Linked DNA regions of Saccharomyces cerevisiae S288C. Changing the gene in region 2 together with the main gene of any one other region gives a genetic interaction. Each region holds a gene or a part of one and is shown on either strand. Other genes may lie near its edges.

The links. A genetic interaction does not mean that the proteins touch.
Region 1: mutations in YLR456W (region 2) and RHB1 together harm fitness less than expected from each alone (positive genetic interaction), as found in Saccharomyces cerevisiae (one large-scale study listed by BioGRID).

Annotation. Positions count from the first base shown.
Region 1 is NC_001135.5:166,032-170,295, reverse strand, and holds RHB1 (putative GTPase RHB1), read left to right. Parts: upstream 1-2,296; coding exon 2,297-2,926; downstream 2,927-4,264. Other genes in the region: nucleotide diphosphatase/phosphodiesterase NPP1, read left to right, coding at 3,957-4,264. UniProt on the Saccharomyces cerevisiae protein: Binds GTP and exhibits intrinsic GTPase activity. Involved in the regulation of arginine and lysine uptake. Acts through the CAN1 permease.
Region 2 is NC_001144.5:1,052,173-1,056,184, forward strand, and holds YLR456W (pyridoxal 5'-phosphate synthase), read left to right. Parts: upstream 1-2,897; coding exon 2,898-3,512; downstream 3,513-4,012. Other genes in the region: PDP3 (Pdp3p), read left to right, coding at 1,457-2,371; NBP1 (Nbp1p), read right to left, coding at 3,640-4,012.

The DNA.
Region 1 (4,264 bases), on a different chromosome or scaffold from region 2:
CTTAGGTGGAGGAGCAAGATAAAGCTAGCTCCGGTCGGAATTTTGCCTATACTTTTTTTTTCTCTTAGCTCGATTTATTTACCTTTATTTAACTTCTGCAGTTGGACAACGATAAATATAACTTGTACTTCTATTATGGGAGCTATCTTCTTAGCGTTTTAATATTTCTCTTAAATATGACACAAGTTGGTTTACCGTGCTGTGATTATTGCATGCTCTTTCGGTGTTAACGTTCAAGCAGCGTCAGTGAGAACTAAAATCATCCAATTTTGGTTAGAAATTGAGGACGAGATGACCTGACGCAGTTCTTCATTGGGAGATCAGTCGCGCGAGAAAGAGTCCAGAGACAAAGGAATTTAATATGGCTACAGCAAGATGTTCTGAAGGATGATCGTGATCTGTTCAGGTGAGAAATCGGTGAATGTTGTGATTATCGTTGGGTCCACTGTTTTTTAAAGGGTATAATATTTCGTATATACTAGACGTTCTACTCGAGGACATAGGAATCCTTAAAATGGAATCGGTATTTCTACATAATAATACTCCTACCTTCTGTTTCTTATGTTTCATTATCTTATTACATTATCAATCCCTGCATTTCGCTTCCATTAGGTTTGATGACTGTATCTCAATCTTTATGTCATCTTCTTACACCTCATGTGATAAAATGCTAGTAGCATGAATACTTCTGAATGGATGGTATTTTAGAGTTTTATTCCAACACTAATATTATAACCTTTACCGAGAATAGTGAGAAATGTGTGGGTAATTAGATAATTGTTGGGATTCCATTGTTGATAAAGGCTATAATATTAGGTATACAGAATATACTAGAAGTTCTCCTCGAGGATATAGGAATCCTCAAAATGGAATCTATATTTCTACATACTAATATTACGATTATTCCTCATTCCGTTTTATATGTTTATATTCATTGATCCTATTACATTATCAATCCTTGCGTTTCAGCTTCCTCTAACATCGATGACAGCTTCTCATAACTTATGTCATCATCTTAACACCGTATATGATAATATATTGATAATATAACTATTAGTTGATAGACGATAGTGGATTTTTATTCCAACAAATAGATTTCTAACCATTCAAATTATTCACCCATTTAAATTGCATTTTTGGTTTGCGGCAACCAAAACGTAATCTAAAAGATGTCTCAATATTCAGTATTTTTATATTGATATGTCGGTATCTAGAATGTAGATATTATGTTGTATTACGGGCTCGAGTAATACCGGAGTGTCTTGACAATCCTAATATAAACAGTCTTAGGGAAGTAACCAGTTGTCAAAACAGTTTATCAGATTAATTCACGGAATGTTACTTATCTTATATATTATATAATGTTGGAATAAAAATCAACTATCATCTACTAACTAGTATTTACGTTACTAGTATATTATCATATACGGTGTTAGAAGATGACGCAAATGATGAGAAATAGTCATCTAAATTAGTGGAAGCTGAAACGCAAGGATTGATAATGTAATAGGATCAATGAATATTAACATATAAAACGATGATAATAATATTTATAGAATTGTGTAGAATTGCAGATTCCCTTTTATGGATTCCTAAATCCTCGAGGAGAACTTCTAGTATATTCTGTATACCTAATATTATAGCCTTTATCAACAATGGAATCCCAACAATTATCTCAACATTCACCCATTTCTCATATAAAATATGAATCATACTAAGTGGTGGAAGCGCGGAATCTCGGATCTAAACTAATTGTTCAGGCATTTATACTTTTGGGTAGTTCAGCTAGGGAAGGCCGGGTTTTATCTCATGTTGTTCGTTTTGTTATAAGGTTGTTTCATATGTGTTTTATGAACGTTTAGGATGACGTATTGTCATACTGACATACCTCATTTTGAGATACAAAATATTACAAGAAGTCCTGGTCCTATAGTGTAGTGGTTATCACTTTCGGTTTTGATCCGGACAACCCCGGTTCGAATCCGGGTAGGACCTTTTTTTGAATACAGATTTATTTTTTTGATTTTTCACTATCTTCAGATACAGAAGAACGCTACTGGTGGTTTCTCTATAAGTATTAACAAGACGCTTCTGCCAGGTTTAATATCTAACAATTTCTACAGCAGTTACACGAATTATTACTAGTTATATTTCCAGTGAAATTATTGAACTTGCCTCCATTTTCATTGACGCATATTGATATTTTCATATTCATTCTTTTGGGCTGGTTCGAATTGTCTCTTTACCGAAACAGTTTTATTGGGGCACGGCGAGAAAAGATATAACCTGTGACATAATGGAATACGCCACTATGTCTTCTTCGAACTCCACACATAACTTTCAGAGAAAGATTGCTCTTATAGGAGCTAGAAATGTCGGCAAAACCACATTAACGGTTCGCTTCGTAGAATCGCGGTTCGTTGAATCCTATTATCCCACTATTGAAAATGAATTTACCAGGATAATTCCTTATAAAAGTCATGACTGTACTCTGGAAATTCTAGATACTGCAGGCCAAGATGAAGTTTCTCTATTAAACATTAAATCGTTGACGGGCGTACGAGGCATAATACTGTGCTATAGTATAATAAATCGTGCTAGCTTTGATCTTATTCCCATTCTCTGGGACAAGCTGGTAGATCAGCTGGGTAAGGATAACCTCCCGGTAATACTTGTGGGTACCAAAGCTGATTTGGGAAGGAGTACAAAAGGTGTAAAAAGGTGTGTCACGAAAGCTGAAGGAGAGAAACTAGCTTCGACAATTGGCAGTCAAGATAAGAGGAACCAGGCAGCATTTATAGAATGCAGTGCCGAGTTAGATTATAATGTTGAAGAAACTTTTATGCTCCTTTTGAAACAAATGGAACGTGTCGAAGGAACTCTGGGGCTTGATGCCGAAAATAATAATAAATGTTCTATAATGTGAAAACTCGAGCGTCCCTAGGATATCATTGGTTTTATTAGTAGGAAAGCGGTCAGTACAATTTGTATAATAATACCACATCTTTCTCATACCTGTTACGGTGTGCTGCATTTATAGTAAGAGGTTGAATATTGATAAAACCTTTCAATGGCTTGGACGCCTCGTTTAACAAGCAAGAATATTTTAATTATGGGGTTTTTGCTAGTTTTCAAGATGCGTTAGCAAACCTAAGTACCATTAAAAATTTCATGTTTAGAATGCTCCTACATGTGTTAACTTTTAGTGCATTTTTTCAAAGTAATTTGCCGTTGATGTTAAAGACATGAAGTAACTGTCTTTTAAAACTAAGGACAATTGACTTTCTTAATCTTTTTGTACCTAAGATGGAAGATTCAGATAGGACATCCAGTAGCAACCAGTAAATGTACTAACTAATATTTCATCCTTTCTTTGACTGGGACGAAGTCGGATCACACTATGTACTTTATCAGCACATCGCAATATTTTTGGACAGCACTAAAATTGTGAATACCAAAAGATCAGAACCAAACAGCGAGTGTAAATAAATTTTCTTGTATTTTTCTTTTAGCTCTGCTTCAATTAATTATTTACATTTACGAATAAATTTGTATATATTCTCCCTCGGTAAGTACCACCTTTTTTTTTACTTTTTGCTCTAAGAGTTACGATTATATATACATAACATAAATAATGGAATAAAACATCACCTGGAAGCTAAGAATATATTAAGTGACAATTATACCAGGGGTTGGACTAGTCAAACAATCAGGTGAATTGTGAACACAATACGACATTTTCTCTTATTAATTTTGGATACCTATCTCACAAAATATCATAACGAGACAAGATATCTGCGTACGATGCTAAAAATGAAAAAAAAGAAAAGACATGAAGTTATAAAAAAACATTGGTACGATATGCAAACTGCCTAACAAACCACAAATAAGCAAAATAAGTGAGGCGAGGTAATTACATATATCTGAAAAGAGGTACAGTATAACACTCTCTATAGATGGAACTTCAGAATGATTTAGAGTCGCTCGATAACGAGCTGAATGATTTTAGTGAAGATCCATTTCGTGATGATTTCATAACGGATGAAGATGCTGTAAGATCGGGGTGGCGATCTGCGTGGACCAGGATGAAATATTGGTTTTATAAGAATAGACTGAAGTGGACAAACAATCCCATAGTGATTGGCGACGCGAAAGATAGTAGGGATGGTTCTAACTTTAGAAGGGGTATACCGCTATATGAATTAGACGCGAATGGTCAACCCATTGATACTGAACTTGTTGATGAGAATGAACTTTCTTTTGG
Region 2 (4,012 bases):
CGAAAACCATAACCTGTAGTATAAATATAAGACATCTCAAGCACTTGTTATTAATTAGGGAAATAGCTAACAGCATTTGAACGATAACTAAGGCAAACAATCCTCAGTAGTAATCGTTGGAAAAAAGATCTGAGAACTAGGTGAATTTTGTGATAATTGTTAAAATTCCATAGTTGATAAAGGCAATAACATTATGTATGCAGGATATGCTGAAGTTCTTCTCGAGGACATATGAATCCTCAAAGTGGAATCGGTAGTCCTGCACTATAATATTACAATTATTTTTCCTTTCGTTTTATATGCTTACTTATCCTATTACATTATCAATCTTTGCATTTCAGCTTCCATTAAGTCAGATGACTGTTTCTCAATCTTTATGTCGTCTTTTTATACCGCATATGATAATACACTTGTAACATGAACACTGGTCAATAGATGATGATAGGGTTTCGTTCCAACACCATCACGTTATCAATTCTTTCGTGTCAACTCCTCATTTACGTTATACTCTTTACATTGTGTATGGCAGTATACTAGTAGTGAGAATACTAGTCAATAGGTTATAATTGATTTTTATTTTAACAAGTAACATCTTCGGAAAAGCGACTACTATTCAACTAATAATCATCAATTTTTACTTCAAGAAAGCATAATAACGTCTGCATTTATGTGTGAGCAGGACTGAGCGATTCTGAGGGCACTTGTATTCACCAATTTGCAATAGCTGATCTTTACAATCTGCATGTTCCGATAACAAAAATAACTTGTAGGATAAATCCTCAGAGTTACATCGGTGTGTCAGGGAATGAACAGATAAAAGAAATAACGTCGCACTGTAAAGTGAGTAGCAGCAAAATTAAACTATTCGGACATTTTAAAACCCTATCAGTCGCCTTGGATGATAACCTTATTTCAACCACCTATCAATGAAAATGGCTTAAACTTCCCCAATTAAAAAACTCTGCAATAGCGTGTTGATTTCTTCCAGATTGATAGTTTGGTACAATACGGAAGAAACAAGGTCTCTCTCCATTTACATTACGGTAAGCTGTTCTTAATTGAACTTTGAAACATCCAATGGCGGGTAATAATTATAGTATTTTTCTTTTCTATTTTATTTATTTTTTTTTTTTTTTTTGATTTTCTAGAATAATCAATCAATGGTAAATAAACAAAAGTTGCTTCTGTTGTAAAAAATACATCAAAGGGGCTAAAATATCAATATACGTTTCGTTAAGTTCTGCAGAGAGATTTGGACATATCTATTTTTCTCTCAGATATTTGTTATTGCATATTGTGAGTTGACTACTGGTAAGCTTATATTGGAAGTTTCACAAGCATTCTTTTAGGACCTACAGTCGTTGCTCCTCCTGGCTTTTTTTCCCTTTTATTTTTTTCTGTTTTTACTTCCATTTCTTTTGTGATATTAGCTATCCCTGGTTTGGTCCGCAAGTTTATGACAAAAGATATTAGAACAGGCGATTTAGTGTTATGCAAAGTTGGCTCGTTTCCACCTTGGCCAGCTGTAGTATTTCCACAGCGTTTGCTGCGAAACGATGTATATAGAAAGAGAAAATCCAATTGTGTTGCTGTTTGTTTTTTCAACGATCCAACTTATTATTGGGAACAACCCAGTAGATTAAAGGAGCTAGATCAAGACAGCATTCACAATTTCATATTAGAACATAGTAAAAATGCAAACCAAAGGGAATTGGTCAATGCTTATAAGGAAGCAAAAAATTTTGATGATTTCAACGTATTTTTACAAGAAAAGTTTGAAGAAGAAAACAGGTTAAGTGATCTAAAAGCGTTTGAGAAAAGTGAAGGTTCTAAAATCGTTGCCGGAGAAGATCCCTTTGTAGGTCGAACAAAAGTAGTGAATAAAAGAAAAAAAAATTCAATATCCATCAAAGAAGATCCGGAAGATAACCAGAAATCAAATGAAGAAGAAAGCAAACCGAACATCAAACCGTCCAAAAAAAAGAGACCCACAGCTAATTCGGGAGGAAAATCAAACAGTGGCAATAAAAAGAAAGTTAAATTAGACTATTCCAGAAGAGTAGAAATTTCACAGTTATTTCGCCGCAGGATTCAAAGAAATCTAATCCAGAGAGAAACACCTCCTACTGAGCATGAGATCAAGGAAACTCATGAACTATTAAATAGAATATATGAGAATTCTGACACCAAACGGCCCTTTTTTGATTTGAAGGCCCTACGCGAAAGCAAATTACACAAGCTACTGAAAGCAATTGTTAATGATCCTGACTTAGGCGAATTTCACCCACTTTGTAAAGAAATTTTACTGTCCTGGGCAGACCTAATCACAGAACTGAAGAAAGAAAAGTTGCAAGCGCTACCTACGCCTTGATAATAATACTTATTGAATCAATTCAATATATCAACGTTTCAATATCCAATATTGTTTCATTTCATTTCATTTCAAATAAACAGTGTTTTACCGTTTGTTTTGTTTCCCTTCTTTTTTTCATCAAATGGTAATATTAAATTGATTTAATTATCCATCCATAAAAATTGTATTAATAAGTCATACACGTAATGTCACAACAAAATATCAGGCGTACTCTTGTGACGTACCAAAGCGCTTAGAAACGATAAAGGCCCGGGACAGAAATTTAAACGTCACAAGTGGGTGCAGCCCAGTTAACACTAATGTTAACGCACTTCTAGATACCTCATATATATAAATATTATCTAGAATTTCAAATTTGATATTCCTTTTCTATACTGAATAAACGATAAATACGAAGTTCAGAGTGCGAAAATTAGGGTTGCAGGCGTCTGATCTGAAAAACGTATAATTGATAGTGAAAATTATGCAACATTCTGCAAAGGAAAGTAAACCTTAAAAAAACAAATCTCTCAAGCCTTTAAAGATGAAACTCAATGAACAAATACCAAAAGACCTGTTACGCCTGATTAAAAGTTCCAAGTATGTTCATGTGGCGACATGCTCGTCAAATTGTATACCATCTGTTTCGTTGATGCATTACATATTTGTTTCATCCGCGGAAACTTTCCATAAACATGAGTATAGTATAGAAATAGATTGTAATGACTATATTATATTCACAGTGTTCGAGAAATCAGTAACCTTTCGTAATGTCATGAGCAACCCAAACGTTGCATTGCTATTTCACGATTGGATCACAGCTAAAAATTTAACTCTTCGAAAAAAAAGCGTCCATAGTAAAGATGATTTTTCATTTGTTGAGTCAGAGTCTACAAAATTTAACAACTTTTTACGAGATTTGAACCAAAGTGAATTGAATCAAGTGAGCGCTACTATCAATGGTATTGCTGATATTGTGAACCCTAATAGTGAAGAATCTACTTATTATAGGCGGTTGTTATTAACAGTCAATCCAGACGCAGATATTTTTATACTAGGAGAAGATACAGCCATAATAAAGGTAAATATACAAAAAATAAAAGTCTCTGACATGGAAAATAATACTTCTACATACGGCCAAACAGTACAACCAGTTTAACGGAAATATGATGAAAACTATGTGTACTCTAATTATTATATAAAGCATCTATAAAATGAATCATGAGGATTAGGCCGTGATCTTCGCGCTCCATATATGGAGAATACTTTTAATTTCACAGGAGAAATTAAGATAAATAACTTGAAAAGTCCACTGAGATTGGTGAAAGTGTTTCATCCTCTTTTTCAGTTTCCCTTGAACGATAGGGTGGAGTGGGACAGGCGGGAGATATGTTTTCCTGTAACGGCTGCATCTCTGGTATATTTCCATCCCGATTATATGTTTTCATGGGGCTGGAAGTGAATAATGAATTCGTTCTTCTTATTGGAGACGGGGAAAGATCAATTTTCAAGGGCTTAATCTCATCGTTTTCTCTAGCTAGATTAGACATGGTTCTCCTAGATTTGGTGTATGATGGATGAATGTTTGAAGAATCTAGTAAATCCTCCAAAATCCTGTACTTCTCATTTGAGTAATTCAATGCTTCTTGTAATGATTGT